Linked DNA regions of Macaca fascicularis. The protein of the gene in region 4 interacts with the protein of the main gene of each other region in a biochemical or structural test. Links are inferred from orthologs where the notes say so. Each region holds a gene or a part of one and is shown on either strand. Other genes may lie near its edges. The genes, in order: LCP2, ERBB3, KHDRBS1 and ITK.

Region 1 (4,925 bases), about 13 Mb from region 4:
AGACCAGCCTGATGAGCATGGTGAAACCCCATCTTTACTAAAAATACAAAAATTAGCTGGGCGTGGTGGCAGGCTCCTGTAGTCCCAGCTACTCAAGAGGCTGAGGCAGGAAAATTGCTTGAACCCGGGAGGCGGAGGTTGCAGTGAGCCGAGATCATGCCACTGCACTCCAGCCTGGGTGACAGAGCGAGACTCCGTCTCAAAAAAAAAAAAAAAAAAGAAGAGAGATCTTGTCTCAGGCTTCATGTTTAACATTCCAGAGAGTGACCCTGACTGACCCAGCTTTAGTAAGCTATTTATCACTGAGCAGAGTTCTGAGCACCTGTGATTGATGCACCTGGGGTCATATACAGGCCTGTGGCCAAAAGAGGCAAGGCCTGGCAAAAAGGAGTTGCCAGTGCTTGAACAGAGAGAGAATGCTAGTCATGAAAACATTAGCTTCCCAATACTGATTTCAGTCATAGCCGTGGAACAGAACATCTTAATCCTAATGGCCCTTTCCACTAAGAGACTTAAAATGAGCTTTGGTTTGTTTTATAAACATGATTCACTACCAAATAGTCGCTTTGAAATCGATCAGGTCCTTCATTTTAGATATTTTTGAATCGTAAGGATAGAATACGGTGAAGCAAGACAAGTTGAGCTTACTCGATACTAGAACCTGTGGTGTATGCTATCCTTATTACCTTGTACCTAGCTCACTTGTTTACCACAGAAGAGACACTAAGTAAACACTTGCTGAATAGCCTATTGTATAGACATGTAAATGAATGCAGAGTTTTCAGCCTTAGAACTCCCAAGTTTTGGACCCTAACTGAGAACTTCTGGTTATTAAGGATGAGATTTTGTGAAACATCATTTTTACCAGTTAAAAGTCTCTACATTCCGCATACTCCTTATCTTAACATATCATCAGTTTTAAAATGGTGACTTCTTAGATTCCTTCCAATACCCCTTTTATTAGCTCATGAAAATGAAGATGCAAGATACTCTTTTCCATTTCGAAAACTTGCAGATTAAGCAGAGATACCAAAAATTGTTGCTAATAAAAGTTGTGCAATAACAACCAAGGTCCCAAAGGGAAAAACTTGAAGAACAACTGATTGTCACTATTTGACTGAATACCAGTTTTTTAATCTGGCTGAATGCCTATATTTTTTGTTAAGTGAGATTAGTAAACTGAAGGAAAGAGTTTAGTTACTTCAAAGCACTTATACAACCTGTTTGGGAAGGATGAGGAGAAGGGACTTTATGGCAGAGCTGTCAGGGGGATAACAAGAGATAGAAGAGCCATATCTAATAAGAAAGTCTGATCAAATTTATCTAAAGTGTTGCTCCCTCATCCTCCCAGGGAGCCTTTGGTAAAATCTATGTCCCTGGACAATGCTTTTGGGGTTGAGAGAAGGTTGGTGGGGAGGTGTAATGGTTAGTGTGGGTGTGGAGATGTGAAGAAACGGCAATTTAACCCCAGATGTATTTATTAAACATAGACCCACGATACACCAAAGTCTTATCCCTAAATTTAAAATGTTTTGGTATTTGTAGTTTAAATTTTCTTTAAGACGAAAATATAACAGTATGGACTAAAAGTCAATAAAGTTGTTTTAGGAAACCAAAAAAGTAAAGCAAAAGACTATTTTAATCCCAGAAGTTATCTCAACATGCATTTATCTTTTCATAAAAAAATTACATAAAAATCCCCCCAGGAAAAAAATACCAAATAAGTAAGAGTGAAATTATATTTTTGAAGCCTCTTAAATTATTGCTGCTGAGAAAATGAGGTTTAGTAATTTTCAAATTACATGTATAAAACTAATAAATGCCTCTGACTGACAGAGGTTTGGCTGTAAGAAAATCAGTTTTATGTGATACCAATAACTATTACTGTTTCAGTGTTTTAAAACTTGCCCCAAATTGTTTTTGTAGCTGTGTAAACTATTGTATTTTGAAATGGGCATTAAAAAAACTTTTAAAAAATGAATTATTACAGTGCACTACTAGACTTCAAGTGTGAACATGACTTATGCACTTTACAAACATTGAAGAAGAATAAATAAATTATGGGATATTTGACAGTCTTCATTTCAAACACTGTTTTTAAAGGGAAGGCTAAAACCCTTGTGTTCATGGGGAGGGGTTCAGTTCAGTCCTAAGTGTTTGTCCGTTGGCCAAGGCTGGTTGATCTCGTGCTGGCAGCAGAGGCAGGAGGAGGGCTCGCTCGCTCGGCTCTAACTTGCTATGGGTGCCCTGCCGCATGCGTTAATGTGCACTGGTATCTGGAACCTCGGTTTTTCCCATCAATGAGCAGAAGTGGCATTTTCCTGAAGTAGCCAATAATATCTGACACAGACAGGAAGTCCTGGAAGAGCCAAGATAGGGGGATGAGTCAACATTGGAATGAAAAGCAGGAACTTCACCTTCAGTTTTTTAGCCGCATAATATATCCTGCCTCTTCAAGTGATGAGGATTGTGGGAAAAAATGTAAATGTGGCAATTAGTTTAATGATTTCTGCTATAGAACTTTGAAGAAAAATTTCCCATAAACATCCAGCAAACCATAGATAAAAGATCAAATACGGGCCAGGTGCGGTGATTCACGCTGGTAATCCCAGCACTTTGGGAGGCCACGGCAGGTGGATCACCTGCGGTCAGGAGTTTGAGACAAGCCTGACCAACATGGTGAAACCCTGTCTCTACTAGAAAACACAAAAGTATTAGCTGGGCTTGCTGGCGTGCGCCTGTAATCCCAGCTGCTTGGGAGGCTGAGGCAGGAGAATTGCTTGAACCTGGGAGGCGGAGGTTGCAGTGAGCCAAAATTGCACCACTGCAGCACTCCAGGCTGGGTGACAAGAAGGAAACTTCATCTCAAAAAAAAAAAAAGATAAAATATGTGCACGTGTGTGTGTGTGTGTGTGTGTGTGTATTTATATATATATATATGTAATTTGAAACGCATATATTTTAACTTCATATGAAGGGGTCATGTACATAGTCACAATTACAATATTCTTGCCTCAGGTTGCTCTGTTTTTGGTTTTGGTTTCAGTTTCTGTATCTCTGTTTCACCCCCAGTCGTTAATAGTGTTAGGAAGTATAAGGACTCAGGAGGTCAGACACAGTTCATGGTGTCTAGAGGTGGGATATGCAGCATGGCACGGGGGTTCCTTCCTGATCTCTCTGCTGTGTCCTCACTGCCACCTTCACACTCATAAGGGCTCAGCAGGCAAGTCTTTGCAGCCATAGCCTGGATCGCCCCAGCCTTGATTGCTTGCTAGAGAGGGAAAAGCCTAATTCATTTTTCTAGACATGGGTCACAACTCACCTAGGAACCCTAACAGGATAATGCACTTCCTTGAAGACTAATCTGCTAGGTGCCTGCCTCCATGGGAGCTGCAATGAGTGGTTGGCCTGAACTTGTGTGTTTCCACACTGTACCAAGATACATCTTGAAGGGCAAATACCTCTGCTTCTATAGGGTCTGTGCAGCTCTATCCACTGCCAACCAGTGATTCAAACATTTGACCACAAGTATGCATTTTGTTTTCTATTCATTATCATTATCATAACAGAAGTATGTGAAGCCGAAGTTATGGGTAAGCTGTTTCTCATTCTGGACATGTTTGATTCAGCTGGTCCTCCTCTTGGAACTTTGAACTTAGAATTTGTTTGGGGCATTACCTTCAGTTGTTAGTTTCCTTTGCAAAACACTAGCCCTGAGGGTTTTTTTCCATCAGTTCTGATTATCACTCAAAAAGTGACTGGCATGAGAATCTAAACCTTGGCCTAACAGAGAAGAATTTCTTTGGCAATCTGGCCATCTTCACAAGGCCAAAGCTCCATTTTGTTAAGAAATGAGCCAAGTATTTGAATAATCACCCCAGCAAATATTATAATTTTTCCTCTTTTCCAGGTGGTGTCAACTTAAAATGCAACCTACATTAAAATTATGTCACAGAGGTGAATAATAGCAGGAACTTACCTTTGACACCATCTAAATAGATTTTTTTAAGTTAACATACTTTTTCTTGCTTTTGAAAATTATACATGGGATTATTTGGAATAAAAGATATACAAGAAAGAATCCTATGGCAGAAGTAACCATTGTAAAGATTTTGCTTTATTTCTCTTCCAATAAATGAAGGGCTTCACTAATGTGATTTAATTCTAAATTTGCCATACAGCATGGACTTCCAAAGATTGCTCCATGAAGGCATGCAGAGTGGCATAAAAAAAGACTTTGGGAAAATGTTGAAATTTGAAATCCTTACCTCTTTCCCTCGGAGTCCAGTTCCCAACAAGTAAACTTGACTTTCCTTCTGATAACGGATCTGGATGTTGTAAACTTTATCTTTGTACAACACCATGAGGACATATGGATTGGTTATTGTTTTTTTAGAGCTGTCTCTAACCAGAAATGTGCCATCCTAAAAAGATAAATTCCTGTTATTATGGGAGAGTAAAAGTCAATATTTTTGTTGCTTGCAAGAATAGTAGACCAGCCTCCAGGGATCTGACAAACATGTCAGTTGCACTTTGCAGCTTCTTGAGTGCAAAACCCGTCATTCAACGAACATTCAGTTCTCCACACAGCTACAGATCCCATGTGTCATGAGTTATTTTGTTGTTAAGAAAGGCAACAGAGATTGTATCAGAGAAATTTCCGAGTCAATCTCGTTAAAGTCTCTTATAAAAATGGAATCTTTTGTTCCCTAATAAATAATGGGTGGTTGAGTGGATAAAAGGCCAGGAGAAATAAAAAACTTTATTGGTTAACTCAAGATATATCTTCCTACTATTCCTGTGAGTTAATTCCCTAACCTTTCTCTTCCACATCCAAAGTCAGAAAAGACCCAAATGCCGTGAAATTCACCCTTCTTAAAACCTTGTGATCCCTAGATAGTCTTTCCTTCATCAGACACTTGAAC
Region 2 (5,885 bases), on a different chromosome or scaffold from region 4:
AGATACAGCTAGCATTCACTGAATGCTTCTTAAAGGTTGAGCACAGTAATTCAGAGTTCCACCTGACTTTTCTCATTGAATCCAAACAACAGTCAGCTGGATGCGGTGGCTCATGCCTGTAATCCCAGCACTTTGGGAGGCTGAGGCGAGTGGATTACCTGAGGTCAGAGGTTCAAGACCAGCCTGGCAAAAATGGTGAAACCCTATCTCTACTAAAAACGCAAAAATTAGCCAGGCGTGGTGGCAGGCGCCTGTAATCCCAGCTACTCAGGAGGCTGAGGCAGGAGAATCGCTTGAACTCGAGGGGTAGAGGTTGCAGTGAGCCGAGATCAACCCATTGCACTCCAGGCTGGGCAACAAGAGTGAAACACCGTCTCAAAAAAAAAAAAAAAAAAAAAAAAATTCCAAACAACATTTTTTTTTTTTTTTTTTTTTTTGAGACGGAGTCTCGCTCTGTCGCCCAGGCTGGAGTGCAGTGGCGCGATCTCGGCTCACTGCAAGCTCCGCCTCCTGGGTTTACGCCATTCTCCTGCCTCAGCCTCCTGAGTAGCTGGGACTACAGGCGCCCGCCACCGCGCCCGGCTAATTTTTTGTATTTTTAGTAGAGACGGGGTTTCACCGTGGTCTCGATCTCCTGACCTTGTGATCCGCCCGCCTCGGCCTCCCAAAGTGCTGGGATTACAGGCGTGAGCCACCGCGCCCGGCCCAAACAACAGTCTTATAAGTAGATACAACAGTTTATAAACAAGGAAGCCAAGGAAGATTTTCTCCTTCGGAACTTGGACCCTGAATACTAGGTTGAGCTGGAGCTGAGTGAGTAATAAAATGAAAAGCCCTTTAATGTGGAGGAGGGTAGGTAGGAGTGGAGACCCTTAAGTGGCATCAGCTCTGTTATCCGATGGGAGTGTGAATCCGAACACATGAAGCTCCAGTCTCAGTAGAACAGTAAGAAATCCTAGGGAAGGCCAGGCAGGGTGCTTCACACCTGAAACCCCAACAATTTGGGTAAACTGAGGTGGAAGGATTGCAGAGGCCAGAGGCCAGGAGTTCAAGACCAGCTTGGGCAACATAGCCAGACCCACCCGCCCCCATCTCTACATCATACAAAAATAATAAAGAAATCCTAGGTAAGGCCAGGCGGTAAGGCCAGGTGTGGTGGCTTACACCTGTAATCCCAGCACTTTGGGAGGCCAAGGTGGGTGGATCTCCTGAGGTCAGGAGTTCCAGACCAGCCTGGTCAACACAGTGAAACCTCATCTCTACTAAAAATACAAAAATTAATCGGGTGTTGTGGCAGGCACCTGTAATCTCAGCTACTTGGGAGGCTGAGGCAGGAGAATCGCTTGAACCCAAGAGGCAGAGGTTGCAGTGAGCCGAGATCAAGCCATTGCACTCCAGCCTGGGCAACAAGAACAAAACTCCGTCTCAAAAAAAAAAAAAAAAAAAAAAAAAAGGGAGAAAAAAAGAGAAAGAAATTCTAGGTAAAAGTCTGAGCCCCACTTCTCAGTCACCTGATCACCTCAACCACTGTCACCAGGTGGATGACCTTGGTAATGTCACACATTTCAAGTTCTGTAAAATGGAGAGTTATATTGCCTAAATCATATAATTTTTATGTTAAGTGACACATTCTCTAAGGCGCTAAGTTTGAGGACATACTTTGTAAATGAAATGATATATGGAGATACTGTATATGTTAATGGTTTTGTTGTTGCCATTATTATTATGACTGCTATACACGTGGTCTGGAGAAAGCCAACCTCCCCAAAGCAAAGGTTCTCCAACAGAGAACAGGCCCTCTAGGTTGCATATCAATACAGAGCCTGTTTAAGGAATGTTAGCCGGTAGTCTTTGCTAGGCCTGAGGGGTGAAATTTTTGTTTATCAAGACTCAACTGTTTTCGAAGTCTTCAGGCTTGAAGTTCTGGGGAAAATAACTAGGCACTCTGGGCGAGATCCCCAATACCAGTTTAAGGGATTTGAAATGCAAGGCCGTCTGGGACTCCACTGCCACAGGCTGGGCACCAGGCGGCGCCGGTCGGATCCGTCCCGGGACTAGCAGGGCTTTGGGCCAGTCCGGGCAGCTGGTGCTGGAGGTTCCAGAGGTCCACGCCATTGGTGGACGCAGTCTCTAGTGTCCTCTCCGCATCCCGCTTCACCGCCCCACCCCTTTCCTGCGCGAGCCTGGACTTGGAAGGCACCGGGGAGGGTGTGAGCGCCTTGGTGTGTGCCCATCTGGGTCCCCAGAAGAGCGGCGGGAACTGCGGCCGCATGGACGGTGCGGCCAGACTCCAGAGTGGAAGGGGAGGCAGCTGTTCTCCCAGGCGGCCGTGGGGGGCAGCAGAGGGGACGGCGACAGGTGCGGGAGCCCCTCCCGGGGTAGAAGTGGAAAGGCGGGCTCCGGGGTCTGTTCGCAGGCTGGAAACCACCCCCGCCCCCCATCCAAATCCCGGGAGAGGCCCGGCCGGCGCCGGGTCTGGAGGAGGAAGCGGCCGGAGACAGTGCAATTTCACGCGGCCTCTTTGGCTCGGGTTCCTGGGCTGGGTGGATGAGTTATGGGGTTTCGAGTCTGGGAGAAACTGAGGTGGCCTGGACGTGAGGCAAAAAACACCCTCCCCCTCAAAAACACACAGAGAGAAATATTCACATTCTGAGAGAAAATCCACCAAGTGAACCAACCGGCTAGGGGAGTTGAGTGATTTGGTTAATGGGCGAGGCCAAATTTCAGGAGGCTGGGCTTTGGAGCGCTTACCACTCCCTCATTCATTACCCTTCCCTGGATCTGGGGGCTTTTGGAATCTTGACCTCCCCTTGGCCCAGCTCCTGCAGAAAAATTAGGGTGAGCCCCATCTTCGATCTGCTCCGCCAAGTTGCGGGACCGCGGGGCGTGGCGCGCTCGGGGCGGGCAGTCCGAGGCTCCGCAATCCCTACTCCAGCCTCGCGCGGGAGGGGGCGCGGCCGTGACTCACCCCCTTCCCTCTGCGTTCCTCCCTCCCTCTCTCTCACACACACACACACCCCTCCCCTGCCATCCTGCCCCGGACTCCGGCTCCGGCTCCGGCTCCGATTGCAGTTTGCAACCTCCGCTGCGCCGCAGCAGCCACCAATTCGCCTGCGGTTCAGGTGGCTCTTGCCTGGATGTCCTAGTCTAGGGGCCCCCGGGCCGGACTCGGCTGGGCTCCCTTCACCCTCCGCGGAGTCATGAGGGCGAACGGCGCTCTGCAGGTGCTGGGCTTGCTTTTCAACCTGGCCCGGGGCTCCGAGGTGGGCAACTCTCAGGCAGGTAAGTGGCGCGAGAGCACTGGCGGGCTCGGCACCTGGGAGCCGGAACCCAGTGCGCGAAGCCTCTGAGGGCATGGGCAGGGTCTCAGGCGGCGCGGGGGTGTGGGTGCTGCCCCCGTACGCCGGACCACCTGGGAGTGGGGCGATCAGGCTCGGGTTATCGGCGTGGTCCGGCCGAGGGCGGCATTCTTGGACCCTCACGCCCCCTTCCCCAGAGCGTCGTCGACCCTCTAATTGGTCTCCCCAAAAGAGGCTGAGGCCGCAACAGTAGTTCACACTTCTGAGGGACCCTGCAGGGAGCGGGGCAGGGACCTTAATTCTATAAACAGGAGGTGCTTGGAGGTGGGGGCCTTGGCGGAAGGGTCTCGGTTTGCTCGCCAGCTTCCTGCCCGCCACCCCGCACCGATTTCTGCTACTCCTAGTTTCGTTGTTTTGCCGACAGGGCGGAGCTACGGAAGGTTGGAGGGGGTTGTTGTTCTCTAGTGTTGGAAAAACAGGAGCGGCACCTCCTCTTCCGTGAGTGAGCCTGCCCTGGGGAGGTCTGAGATTAACCAGAGGGCCAAGTTCAGGTGACATCAGGCGGGAGGCCCAACAGAGGCTGGCGTCCGCTTTCCTCAGAATAGCAGAGCTTGAGCAACATCTCTTTGTCAAGATCCAGGTCAACCCAACTCATATTTATTGAGCATCTACTATATACAAGGCGCTAGGCCAGGAACTGTAGGGGCAAGGATTGTCCAGCCTCTTGTCTTTTCTCTCCCCAACCGGAGGATCAAGAGGGCACCTCTACTACTTTCTAAGCCTCCTGCCTTGGGGAGTCCTACCTGGGCCCATCTTGTGCCCCCTGCCCCCATTTTGCTTATTGTCTGAGGACCCTAGACAGAGCCCTGGATTGCTCTTCTCCAGTCCTCCCCCGACTCCCATGCTATCTGAGCCCACCCCTTTGGGGTGTCTCTGGGGCCGTGGACACCTGAGGTTTGAAGTTCTGTGGATCTCCTCCCCTCCCCCCAGATTTCAGCTTGGGATTTGGCACAGCCAGGGCCCCTTCCCCAGTGTGGGAGTGGAAGAAACCACCTGTGCTTCCCCCACAGTTGCTGGGCCTAAATTTAGATCCTGGGATTTTTAGATGTGAACACTCCCAGCTGGTGGAGGGGGGTGGTCTGGGGACTGGCGTGGGAGGGAGCAGTGGGGTGACTGTATAACTGTCCCATCCAGACTCCCGCAATCTTCACCCAGAAACCCAGGAGTACCAGAGTCTGGCCACCCTCCCTGGGTAGGCAGGAGGCAGGCATGGTTGGGTCTCTTTACCCTTTATCTGGGTCCTGCAGCCTCTGGGCATCCGGCCCTGTCTCAGTCCTTCTATAGCCCCTTTGTCCTGGCTGTGATGGGGGTGGGGGATGTTGGAGGGGAGGCTTCTGGTTGAGGAGGGGCTGGAGATTCTGGCTCTATCCCACCCCTAGTGCTCTCTACCAAAGGAGTGCCTGTGCCACTGCCCCTCCTTATGCTCCCGGTCCCTGGGTACAGGAGGGATTTTTATGATTCCCTTCCCCTGCCCTGCTCCCCAAGCTGCCTAGCTCCTCCCCAGACGTGTTGTTTGTGCTCCCTTCCTGCCCAGGCCCTTTGCCCCCTGTTTGTGTAATATGGACTTTACCCTCAGGGGAGCAGGGAACTGGGCTACCTCTAACACTGTAGCCTTCCAAGCACAGACACAAAGTCTGCACAAACACATATGGGCACGTGGGATAGATGGGGCCACCTGAAATACTTCCTGCAAGGAAACCCGACCACAGGTTCCTGGGCCAGCAGGACCAATGTGTACGTGTTCATGTGTATGTTGTGTGTGTGTGTGCCCACACTACTACTTCCCTGTGCAGAAAACTTGGCTCCTCCCTTATCTGGGGAGAAGGATTGGCACTATAACTTGGGAAAGGGGGTGTCCTGCCAGGAAGGGGACTGGGGTGGGGCTGTTCCAGAAATGACTAACCTTCCTAGTCTCTTTCATTTCAACCCAAGGACCCTGGAGTTACCAGCTCCTCTGGAACTAGCTCTCTTTGCTGGGACTAGCCAACCTTCATGGGGAGTGATAAGGAGCCCTCCAAGGTCAAGAATTCAGACTAGGGGTATATAAGAGGGATTGGGGCCTCACCAGTCTCCCTCCCTCCATTCCCACTGTTGCCTCCCACTGACTACCACTGCCTCAGGGAAGGGTGGCTGGAACAGGTGGTATCTACCCCCTATTCCCCACCCCACACGTGGTCTTTCGCTGAACCAGAAGAAAGAGACTGGGGTAGGGCTTCAGAGTCCAGGATTTTCCATAGGCCATTGTCCACCACATTTGCAAAGAGTGAACTCCCAAGGCTGACATGCCATGTGCCTCTAGTCTAGGCTTTCCCCTAGTGCGGGTGAGGATTGCCATGGTGAAAGGCTTTTTCATGAACCTCTTCTAACAATGAAATTGGGTGGAGGCTCAGTGTGGGGCATCTCCTACTATTTCTCTCCAGGTGTCCCTGTATTTGCTAAAAAATACTCTAGGGCTGGAAAGTGATGCTGAGGTTGCTAGAGTGTGTTGGGATAGGGAGAGAGAGTGAGAAGGAAAGCCTGAGTTTA
Region 3 (5,955 bases), on a different chromosome or scaffold from region 4:
CTTTTGCCCAGGCTGGAGTGCAGTGGTGCGATCTGGGCTCACTGCAACCTCTGCCTACTGAGTTCAAATGATTCTCCTGCCTCAGCCTCCGAAGTAGCTAGGATTACAGGCACCCACTACCACGCCCGGGGAAATTTTTTGTATTTTTAGTAGAGAAGGGGTTTCACCAAGTTGACCAGGCTGGTCTTGAACTCCTGACCTCGTGATTTGCCCACCTCAGCCTCCCAAAGTGCTGGGATTACAGGCGTGAGCCACTGGCCCGGCCCTTATTTTCCAGTTTTAATAGCAGGTTTTGCTAGCCCTGTGGAATGAACTGGGAAGGTCTTAATGTATTTCTAGAGAATATTGTAAATAAAGGAATTAACTATTTTGAAGTTTCAACAGACTTTGTAAAATGTTTTCCACTTTTTCCATCCTTCTGAAGGATGGATTTTTGATTATCCCTCCAAGATCTTTTGCAGATTGCTAATCTATTCAAAATGTTTATTCTTGAGTCACTTACACTAACTTATATTTTACTAGTTGTAGAAAGTAGAAAAAGAGGCCGGGCGCAGTGGCTCATGCCTGTAATCCCAGCACTTTGGGAGGCCCAGATGGGCGGATCATCTGAAGTCGGGAGTTTGAGACCAGCCTGACCAACATGGAGAAACCCCGTCTCTGCTAAAAATACAAAATTAGCCGGGTGTGGTGGCACATGCCTGTAATCCCAGCTACTAGGGAGGCTGAGGTAGGAGAATCGCTTGAACCTGGGAGGCAGAGGTTGCGGTGAGCCGAGATTGCGCCACTGCACTCCAGCCTGGGCAACAAGAGCGAAACTCCGTCTCAAAAAAAAAAAAAAAAAAAGAAAAAGAACACTGACATATATAACAGCATTTTACTTAGTATATAAATACATTAACACAATAAGGTAAATTATTTCTCTTCCAGAAAACAAAGATGGATGACTGAATCTTTATGTCTGCAAATACATTCGACTGTCCTCGCTGCTGAATATCAATCTGCTTAACACAGAAGTCTATATTCAAAATCTACATCCCTCAAAGTTTTGTCTTTTTTTTTTTTATACTTTCAAATACACTTTTTTTTTGGGTCACCTATCACCCCAGCTAGATTTTAATATTTTGTCCAATTATAGCTTACTTTTAAAGTATAATTTGCAGCAGGCACTACAGTGAGGGAACGGGGAAGGTGTGTAGACTGACTTAAAACCCTGGTTATGCTGCTTACTAATTTTGTTACCTTAGGCAAATTATTAATCTCTGGGTGCCTTGGTTTCCTCATCTGTAAAAATGAGGATAATAAAAGTTCTCATTTCATAGGTTAAATATTTAATGTAAAGTGCTCAGACCTCAAACATGAAGTCTTAGCTATATTTTTCTTCCATGTGTTCTTTTTTCCTCTCCTTTTTTGCGATGGAGTTTAGCTCTTGTTGTCCAGAATGGAGTGCAATGGTGCAATCTGGGCTCCCTGCAACCTTCGATTCCCAGGTTCAAGCGATTCTCCTGCCTCAGCCTCCAAAGTAGCTGGGATTACAGGCATGCGCCACCACGCCAGGCTAATTTTGTATTTTTAGTACAGACGGGGGTTTCACCATGTTGGTCAGGCTGGTTTCGAACTCCTGGCCTCGTGATCCGCCCGTCTGGGCCTCCCAAAGTGCTGGGATTACAGGCATGAGCCACCGCGCCCGCCCCTTCCATGTGATCTTACCAGAGCTTAAATACTACTATTCTATCTTCTCAAAGTCTCACTTCCTCACAATGGGTTGCGACTTCACTGCAATCCCCTCGCAAGATAATTCAGAAATACCTTAAAAGCCAGGCTCAACATATACTAACACTTACCCATGCTAAAAAGAATTCATACATCCCAAACCAACATTACCTCAACCACACTTCTCCAATTTCAGTTGGGTTTAAAAAAAAATACATCCAGAAAGCCCAGGTTAAAAATAAAGAGCACTCCTCTCTTAGTTAAGCAGTGAGGGAAGGCTGAAAATTCTAAGTAACTTTTAAGGATCAATAGTTTTTGACAGTTATCTTAAGAAAGCATATAAAAGATGAACACCACACTGGTAAAGATCCCTTACCTTACAGTGTTGGGAGACAGAGAACAAAGAGAGGGAGATAATATTTTCATAATGAACTGCCCATTATATTAACCTTCCCAAAGAGTCCAACTACTCATTCAGTGTTGAAGGATGTGAATTTTTACTTGCTTACTAAAATTTAGGTATCATAAGAAATATTTATTAAAATAATGTTTTAACTTGAAGCGAAGGTCACACAGCTTTAGGGAAAAATCAGAGCGATTAGGTGATTGGCTAGTGCTGATCAAGAAAAGAGCGCTAATCTACAGAACAAAGACTCTCATTTCTAATTTATTTCACTACTGAATCAAAAATGTAAAAAAACAGCAACAAAAAGACTAAGTCTTTCAGTACAAGCATCATGCCACTTCTCTCAACTTCTGTCCATCTCGTTGGGAAACGTTATGTGAACTACGCGGGAGACCCTATCGTCCCATTTCACTGTCTCTAGGGTTATTTCACTCCTTCTTCCATGATAGTGAACACACAGTGTAAAATGAAAGAGGACAACCTTCAGGCTCAGTAGCAATTCTTACTTTATCAGCCTTAGTCGGAAATCTGATTCGGAAACCTCAAGTTCCGATCCCATAAATCGCTCCTTCCTCCCAGCAACTTAAGCTGCGGTTACCGCTAAGTCCGGCTCGGCCCCAGCGACAGCGAGGCGCTGGACAGGGTATTCCAGCCTCACCCCACCTCACCTCGGCCCTTCCTCCCACGGTCCCTCCCCGCTCCGGCTGTCTTCACTTCCTACACCTCGGACGAAGCGCTCATCGCCACCCGCGATCAAAAAGGGTTTCCCTTCGGGAAAGGGGGAAATACAGGTTAATTTCTGGAAGAATCTGTGCGCCCGGCAGCCGCAAGAGGAGGGAGGAGGGAAGAGTCGGGAAAGGGGCGGGGAGCTCAGCACCATCCATCAAGACGTTAGCGCTAGGAGATCGCAAAGTCGCCTTTGGGCCTCCACTGCAGCCTAGAAATTCTCCCACGCACTCCGGGTTGAGGTGGGAATGTGGAATCCAGGCTCCCAAAGATGAGGATGACACCGGAGCTCCCGACTGCCTCGGTCCCGAGGGGGCGGGAAGCGAGAGGAACAAAGCCAGGGCCACTCATGCCCCAGGATGGCCGAGGGACCCAGGAGGCCCCCTTACCTGCCGTCAGCAGCTGCATGGCGTGAGTGAAGGACGGGTCGAGCGAGTCCTTCTCGGCCATGAGTTCTGGCAGGTACTTGTTCTCCGGCTCCATCTTCACGGAGGCTGTGGCCGAGGGGGGCAGCAGCGGGGTCGGCGCTGGCCCGCCCACTGTCGCGTCGGGACCCGTGGCCGAGGGCGGCAGCAGCGGTGGCGGCTGCGTAGCGGGCGAGGCCCGGGCGCCCCCGCGGGACCCCCCTCCGCCTCCCCGGGACCGGTGAGGCAGCGGCGGCTGCCGAGACGGCGTCTGACGCACCGAGGGGTGGGCACCGGAGGGGTCCATGGAGCCGCTGCGGCCCGAGGACCGGCTCATGCGCGCGGCGGGGTCGTCCCGGCGCTGCATCGGGGAGGATGTGCGAAACCAAGGAGCGAGAGAGCGACGCGGCAGCGACGGAGGCCCAAGCGGCGGTTGGCGGGGGTGGGAGAGCGGGAGCAGTAGCGACCGAAGCCGACCCGAGCGACCCAGCGAGAGAGAGCACCGGAAATGAGGCGGCGCGCGTGCGCAGCCAGTCACCGGCACCGCCCTTGGGTTTCTCCGCGGAGAACAAAGTCCCCAGTCCGGCCACGGCGCCTGCGCACCGCCGCGGCGTCCGAAGAAGTCGCCTCCTGACTCTGGCTTTCCCTCCGCGCCCGCCAGGCCAGAGCTTGACGCGCATGCGCGGGAGGCCGCAGGCTCCGTTCGTTTCCTTTTCCACGTGACTCGGCGCTAGCGGGACACGTGTCTCCTCCCTCTTCTGGCCTACTGCGTGGAGGGGGCGGGAGCTGTGGAATGTCTTTGTCTGCGCGCGGGCCCGCGGAGTGTGGGGCGGGAGACCTGTTACTCGCGGGGCCACGCCCTCTCCAACGGCTGAGCAGCGGAGGGAGGCTGTGGGGAGTGGGGTGGGGAGTGGGGTGGGGATGGAAGTGGGGTGGGGGGCGGTCACCGAAGTAAGGAAATAAAAGGAGACTGCCGTGAGGGACACGGAAAGGGGAGGGAGAGAGAATTGAGACCGCCGGGGGAGGAAGACAGGAGGGAGAAAGGAAGGCTAAGGGAGAGTCCGATGCAGGAGGGGAAGTTGGGGAAGGGAAACCTGGAGGGAGAAATTGAGAAAGGACGGCTCGGTGGAAACTCTGAAGGCTACTGGAGGACATGAGCTAAGAGGGATGGCTCGGATCAGAGATCTGAAGTCTAGCAAAGAAAAGGGCCCCAGACATAGGGAACACAAGAAGTCGTTTCCAGTGTATGTATTTCCAGTATTAGATCTCTTCCAGTCGGTTCTAAAACGGTTGCCGTTGTTGGTCAGGGAAATCTTAAGCAGCATTTTAGCTCTTTTTATATATTTTACTGCTTTCTCTGAATTGTGTTTTGTTTTGCCGTTGTCATTGCCAATTAAGTGATTCTTCTGCCAAAAAGTGGAGTAGAGACCAGATCCTTAATCCACGTTGCTTGCATCATTAGGGTGGCTCCTTCTACCACTCCAGACTTGCTCAAAGAGACCCTTGCCACTACTCTCAAAGGCCAGATGGCCAGTCTCCCACGGCGTTCTCCACATCCTGGAGTGCTATATGCAGGTGGAGCGTTAGGTCCCTACTTGTCCCATAAACCATCAAAAGCTTAGTGCTGTCTCTAACTTTTCGTTCCCTCCACAGATTTTTTTCTTCTTCCATTTAAAGCACTCACTCCCATCTCTTTTTCTTCTGGATCAGTTCTCCTAATGAGCCCACACTTTTCAAAAGTCTTTGGGGCCTCGTGCGGTGGCTTATGCCTGTAATCCCAGCACTTTGGGAGGCCTAGATGGGAGGATTACTTGAGGCTAGGAGTTCGAGAGCAGTCTGGACAATGTAATGAGACCTCATCTCTAACAATAAAAAAGTTTCCACCGGGTTCGGTGGCTCACGCCTGTGATCTCAGCACTTTGGGAGGCCGAGGTGGGCGAATCACCTGAGGCCAGGTGGAGACCAGCCTGGCCAACATGGTGAAACCCCGTCTCTACTAAAAATATAAAAATTAACGGGGTGTGATGGTGCGTGCCTGTAATCCCAGTTACTTGGGAGGCTGAGGCAGGAGAATTGCTCGAACCAGGGAGGCGGAGGCAGCAGTGAGCCGAGATCGCGCCACTGCACTCCAACCTGGGCAACAGAGCGAGACTCCGTTCAAAAAACCAAAAAACAAACAAAAAAAACAAGGAAAAAAAGTTTCTTCGGAAATTGTCTTCTGAGTGCCTGGAAACTGTTGATTTTTGGATGTGAAACTTAGAACCCTTTAACTAGAGAACCTAAAGGCCTTCTTGGGTTAAGGGAGGGGATTTACCAAGTCACCCACAGAAATGAAAACAAAACACACATATCCACATAAATTATATATATGTAATATAAAATATAGGCCGGCTGCGGTGGCTCATGTCTGTAATCCAAGCACTTTGGGAGGCTGAGGTGGGCGGATCACCTGAAGTGAGGAGTTCGAGACCAGCGTGACCAACATGGCAAAACCCTGCCTCTACTAAAAATGCAGAAACTAGCCGGGGGTGGTGGCGGGCGCCTGTAATCCCAGCTACTCGGGAGGCTGAGGCAGGAGAATCGCTTGAACCCGGGAGGCGGAGGCTGCAGTGAGCCGAGATCACACTACTGCACTCCAGCCTGGGTGACAGAGGGAGACTCCTCCTCACAAAAAAAAAAAAAAAAAAAGTATATATACATTTACTTTGA
Region 4 (5,688 bases):
GATGCTTTTTTCAATTCTCTTTTGGACTCATTGCTTTAACATTTTTGCTGTTCTTCAATTCATGGCAATTATTATTCCTTTTGATACTTAAATTGTTCCATCTTTGGCAAGTGGGAGTTCCTTGAATTTGGCTCCTGGGAAGTGAACTTTTTAAAACGAAAACAAACAAAGGGACTATTTTTTTTTGTTTGTTTATGTTTTCCTTAAAGTGAGAAAAAAAATATTGAGCTTCCTAAGTTTACAATTTAAAGTTGGCAAAGATAATTCCGAGATAGTGGGTTTGATGGCTCTATGAGAAAGAGAATAAAACTACTTATGATGGCACTCCATGGAGACTGAGCAAATGAAAGACTCCTAACGATTGCAGCAGCTACTGATGATGTTTTGCTTTCCCGGATGAGAACACTTTGTGAAGTCTGTGAATCTTTTCATCTGAACCAAGCAGGTATAAAATGTACTTCTCTCAAAGGAGTTTGTAGTCTAGTTTGAGAAGATAACACTGTATTACTGTATTATCTAGGTTTCCTGGTAGTGACAGAAACCTCAAAATAACTGAGACTCAGAAAATAGATATTAAAAAAGGTAATCCAGGACTGGCATGGAAGATCCATGGTCACCAAGGTCCCAGGCTCTTTCTATCTTATACTCCATTGTCCTCAACATTCAATTTCCACCTCATGATACTAGATAGCTGCTTCAGCTCCAACTGTCACCTCAACATTCTAGTCAGAAGGCAGGAGGAAAATGGAAAGAAAAGGGGATGACAGATCCCACTAAGGAAATTTCCTAGAAGTTGTGCACACCACTTCTGTACATTCAGTTGACCAGAAGACAGTCATATAACTACACCTAGCTACTAGGGAGGCTAAAAATTGTGGTCTTTATTCTTGATGGCCAGATGCCCAGAAAACCATCAGGGATTCAGTCAGTTACTCTTGTATGAAGGAGAGAGTAGATATTTGGGAAAAGCAGCAATCCCTACCTCAAGCCCATATTCAGGGAGAAAAAAAAAAAAAAAAAAGATCTTGTTTGAGCAGCGTATTTTCACACATATATCTTAAAATCTCAGAATAGGGGAGATCATTTAAAATATACCTGTACCCTACCCTCCTGAGTGTCTTGATTATGCTGGGGCATCCAGTATATGAAATAAAATAAGGCTGTTGTCTGGTAATTTACATTTAAAAATAAACATTGGAGAATTTCACTCCTATACAGCAAGAATGATTGTTTCATTTATTATTTATCACTACCCAGTACATGCCATCTCTGCTTACACTAAAATCTCTTGATTATTAACATGGTAGAGATAAATGCCACACATTATTTTTCAACTACGTACTAACTCTAAGGCAACATGCATGACTAGCACCCACCATTTGTAAGAGGTATGGGATTCAGTCCTCCAAGGGACCCTCACAAGGAAGCTAAGGATCAGAGGAGGCACAGCTTGCTCAAAGAGAAACAGCTTAGTAAGTGACAGATCTGGTAATCCAACACAAGTTTGTTTGTTTTTAAAGCCCATATATACTTTGTTTATTATGCCATTCTGAAGGATTCGCTTATTTTTCACTGTTTCACAAAATGTCAGGACAGAAAGGCAATCATCTATATGTAGCATTGAGAAATTTCTGTGGGCTTTAATTTAAATCTTAAAAACTAATAAACTTCAGCAACATATTTCTTCATTTTAATGTGTGAGGGGTTTGTGCTCATTACCTCTTTTAATTGTCAAACCCAATTTGGCGAAGATCCATTCAACAAATTTTTCTTAAACATCTTTTTTATGTGTCAGGCACTGTGATGGTTGCCGAGTATATCATGGTAAGCAAAACCACGCATTGTCCTTACCCCTTGTGCTACATGTTTTAACTGCTGGATGGATTGGATGGATTAAACCAGGAACTATAAAGACTAAACTGTAATCCTTACCATAATTTTAAGTCTACAGTTTTTCAAATATCATTTTGAGCCATATAGCAAAGGCTGTATGTATTTTTTACATATGCTTCCTCGTTTTGTGAATTTTGAAAGGATGTGGTTATGGCCTTTGACATCAGAGGAGACGCTCAGCTATGTTGGCTGAATGTTGATAGAAAGATAACGTTGAAGGCAAGTTGCCCTTGAGCAACTCTCTGAAGATCAACTGCCTCCACATTGCATTCTTTGCCCCAAAACTCTTCCCTTTGGTTGTGCTGAGAGGTGATGCCCAAGGTGCATCACGTTTCAAGAACTGGATCATGAACAACTTTATCCTCCTGGAAGAACAGCTCATCAAGAAATCCCAACAAAAGAGAAGAACTTCTCCCTCGAACTTTAAAGTCCGCTTCTTTGTGTTAACCAAAGCCAGCCTGGCATACTTTGAGGATCGTCATGGGGTATGTGAGCAGTTTCATTTGTCTTTTTTCGCATAGTATTTTATGTTTGGACTGGGCTAATGCAAAAGTATATACATAGCATACAATAGAATACAGGAAACACAAACATGCTTGTTGTAACAACATAAAAAGTACAGTAAAAGTAACCAGAGGAGAATGCAGAGAGCAGTCAAGAGGTGAAATGGTGGTGCGAGGCAATTTCAGTTCTAAAAACTGGAAATTTAATATTCATCAGCTTTTTCCCCGTGCAAGATTATGTTTGATTTTTAAATTATTAATAACATTTTAGGAAGCAAGTATTATGATTCATTAAAACTTGAACTTTCTATGAAACATACCAAATTTAATGAAACATACTAAACTTAATGAAACATACTAAATTTAATGAAACTTAGATTAATACAACATTAGCATTCGATGGGATGATCTACCCCAGCTTGCTTATTTTTAGTGGAAGAAACTGGTGTTTAGAATGGTTAAATTTGGGGTTCCGTGTTAACGTTTTCATGAATAACTCTGTCTGTCGCAATACTCGTCACTTGCCCAATCTTGAAATAAGATTCCCCAGGCATTTAATTGTCTAAAAGTTGTAAGGCACAATGGCAAGCCTCTTCATCTCTTGGTAGACTTCCTAGGACACCAGGTTTATTAAGAACAAAGTTTCTGCAGTGCAGACCAGCGGTTCTTACCCAGAAGAGTATGGCTGCTTAGCTAGGTCAGTCTGTCTCTGTATCTCAAAATAGTCTCATGCTTCTTTAAGATCAGTAATAACAAAAGCAACAGGAATAATCCTAATAATGTAGTTTGGCAGAAAAAGCATTGGACAAAGGGTCAGGAGACCAAACTACTTCTCAGTAGGTGATCCAATCTGGACAAATGTCTACCCCCTATTTCAGGTTCTTTCTTTATCAAAGGAAAAAACTGGAAATAACAACCTTCAAGATCCCTTTCTTCTTTAAAACTTCTTTGCTTTATGCAATGGCTCTTGTTTAGCCCTATGCTGCAATTTTTCAAAGCGTGTTTGATTCCTTACTGTATGGTTATATTATTTTTACATCATTAGTGGGGTAGGACAAAGATTATCACTTATATTTTACTGAAGGGAAAATAATATTAGGTGCCTGATGGTCACTTAGAAACAAAAGTGCTCTGATTCTTTGTTGGAGTCTGACTTAGTAGCTGGAGGCATGAGTTTGGGATTCTTTGGCGTGCCAGGCTTTAAAGCATTTCATGAGGTGGAGCTCCAAAGGAGGTCAGGCTGGGTATAGAGTCTATGGATGCCTCACTTTTTAAAGTTGCAGGTGTTGCATGTCTTTGATGAATTACAAAAAAAAAAAAAAAAGTTACAGGCAAAATAGTGCTGCCTCTTTAAAAGTGAAAAGAATTGCTTGTCTTGTTATCAGACTCTTACTGATAACAATTTACCAGTCAATCAGAAAACACATGGAATTATGTGCGAGGCCTCTGCCAGGTGGCCAGGAGCCCAGTTTGTGAACTTGGGGGATTTATCATGTAGAGCTAATAAATCGCATGGCATTACTCAATGCTTTTTTGTGAATGGAACATTTAAAGTTTTTGTTTCATATTGAAAGAACAGTCATGTACCTTTAAATATTTTTTTCAAAGCCCATTTTACAGTTTTCACCAGTTTGTTTTCCTGATTCAACATAGTATCATCTTATTTAGTTAGTACTAATAATTCTTTAGCCCAATTGTTATTTATGAACTGTTTGTGAATTCAGCTCAATATTATTTGCAAATAATCACAGAACCAGATGGCCTCAATTCAGAATTTTATTGGTCATAATTTGCAAGTAGACAAGGTTGTAAAATCACCCTACTTCTTTATCTGAGCATTATGAAAAATTCCAAGACAATTACTTCATTCTGGGGAGCCCTAGGCTGTAGTTTCTGATACTTCCATGTAAGATACAGAGAATACATGTCCAAACATCAAATTTCTTGTTTTCTAATGCCTTTTTTGCACTTATAAATAACATTTTTAAAGTATTTCTTTAATTATTTAATTATTATAGAAATTGATTAATTAGAAATTTATCCAAGGTCCCTGAAACAGGTAATATATGTGAGTTATTATCGTCCATGTCTTATGTATACTACATCGTTTAGGGCCACCAATTTGTACACAAGAGTGCATTAATATTACTCATAAGTAAATAACATTACACCTGTGGGAAGAACATTTTCATTTTTAAATTAAAGCCTTCACTTTCAATCTGTAAAATGGATGTGATACTAGTACCCATTTCATAGGAAGAAGGCAAAGACTCAGAGGTATAATGTCTTTAGGCTGAACTTTTTGAAATTATTTGGCAGGTCGAATATCAGGTATTAGAAGTCTCAAACAATTCAACTTAATGTTAGGTACTTAGCATAGGCCCTGCCATCTGGTAAGCATCTACTAAAAGTTAACCATTGTTTGTATCCCTTTCACATCTCTACAGAAGCTAGCAGGGTGTCATAACAATTCATTTTCAAATTATGGGAGATATTCAAGGATTCTCCAAAATCAAGCTAAGATCAGGGTCCTGGATTCCTTCTATTCTGTGGCAATACAAGTTTGTGGGGTAGATATACATGCATCATGAGCTGTTTGGCCAGTTATTGCCCCTCTTAGGGTGTCAGAGCTTGTTTTTCTCTTTTCTCATTTGTAAAATTATGATTCCTGCAATTCTCATATTCTATGAATTTATAACACCATATGAAAAATAACCCTTCTACATACTCAAGAACATATTCTGTAGTTCTATAAATCAAGTATATTTATTCTAACCTTAAAAATCATGCCTATTGTCATTATAATACTAATTGATTGAGGCTTTTACTTTAACATGGATTTAGTTCTGGTGTTAGATGCCTGTTTTTCCTATTGAGATGTGCAAGTGTTTTCAGAGGGGCCAAAAAGCGCCTTCATCTTGCTGGAGCAGTGAGCCAGAAAGAAGCATAGATTTGGCAGGTAGCGGCTTGCAGACAGACATGATTTCAGAGTCTCTCCTGTGCCTGTCAATTTTTTTCCAAGTAGTCCCTGATGCCAGAAATTCTATAACAGAGGGCAATGAGAGATAAGGGCACATGAGTGTGCTGGTAAATGCTTAGGAATCCGAGTATGGGGCTTGTTGGATAGCCTTGATTCATAGTGTTTGCCAATTCCTTTGGTGTAAATACTCCCATCATGGCCCATTTTAAACTACCAATGTGAAGTCTGCTGGTTCACAGATTCCTGAAAATTTAACAATTAGCTACCTCAGGCCAGTACAAGCCAAGTCCAGCACATCATTGGCAAGCCTAA

The links.
Region 1: the proteins of ITK (region 4) and LCP2 form a complex in vitro, tested with the Homo sapiens proteins (2 studies listed by BioGRID, with this or other methods). The link is inferred for Macaca fascicularis from reciprocal best matches to the Homo sapiens genes ITK and LCP2.
Region 2: the proteins of ITK (region 4) and ERBB3 form a complex in vitro, tested with the Homo sapiens proteins (2 studies listed by BioGRID and IntAct, with this or other methods). The link is inferred for Macaca fascicularis from reciprocal best matches to the Homo sapiens genes ITK and ERBB3.
Region 3: the proteins of ITK (region 4) and KHDRBS1 form a complex in vitro, tested with the Homo sapiens proteins (4 studies listed by BioGRID, with this or other methods). The link is inferred for Macaca fascicularis from reciprocal best matches to the Homo sapiens genes ITK and KHDRBS1.

What each region holds. Positions count from the first base shown.
Region 1 is NC_088380.1:177,052,380-177,057,304, forward strand, and holds the end of LCP2 (lymphocyte cytosolic protein 2), read right to left. Parts: intron 4,425-4,925; coding exon 4,269-4,424; intron 2,360-4,268; coding exon 2,237-2,359; 3' UTR 1,622-2,236; downstream 1-1,621. UniProt on the Homo sapiens protein: Adapter protein primarily involved in signaling pathways within T-cells, as well as other immune cells such as platelets, mast cells, and natural killer (NK) cells.
Region 2 is NC_088385.1:62,864,275-62,870,159, forward strand, and holds the start of ERBB3 (receptor tyrosine-protein kinase erbB-3), read left to right. Parts: upstream 1-2,169; 5' UTR 2,170-2,270; coding exon 2,271-2,358; intron 2,359-2,777; exon of another isoform or gene 2,778-2,838; intron 2,839-3,039; exon of another isoform or gene 3,040-3,200; coding exon of another isoform or gene 3,201-3,282; intron 3,283-5,885. UniProt on the Homo sapiens protein: Tyrosine-protein kinase that plays an essential role as cell surface receptor for neuregulins.
Region 3 is NC_088375.1:203,015,232-203,021,186, forward strand, and holds the start of KHDRBS1 (KH domain-containing, RNA-binding, signal transduction-associated protein 1), read right to left. Parts: upstream 3,748-5,955; 5' UTR 3,614-3,747; coding exon 3,232-3,613; intron 1-3,231. UniProt on the Homo sapiens protein: Recruited and tyrosine phosphorylated by several receptor systems, for example the T-cell, leptin and insulin receptors. Once phosphorylated, functions as an adapter protein in signal transduction cascades by binding to SH2 and SH3 domain-containing proteins.
Region 4 is NC_088380.1:163,973,230-163,978,917, forward strand, and holds the start of ITK (tyrosine-protein kinase ITK/TSK), read left to right. Parts: upstream 1-2,119; 5' UTR 2,120-2,240; coding exon 2,241-2,378; intron 2,379-5,688. UniProt on the Homo sapiens protein: Tyrosine kinase that plays an essential role in regulation of the adaptive immune response. Regulates the development, function and differentiation of conventional T-cells and nonconventional NKT-cells.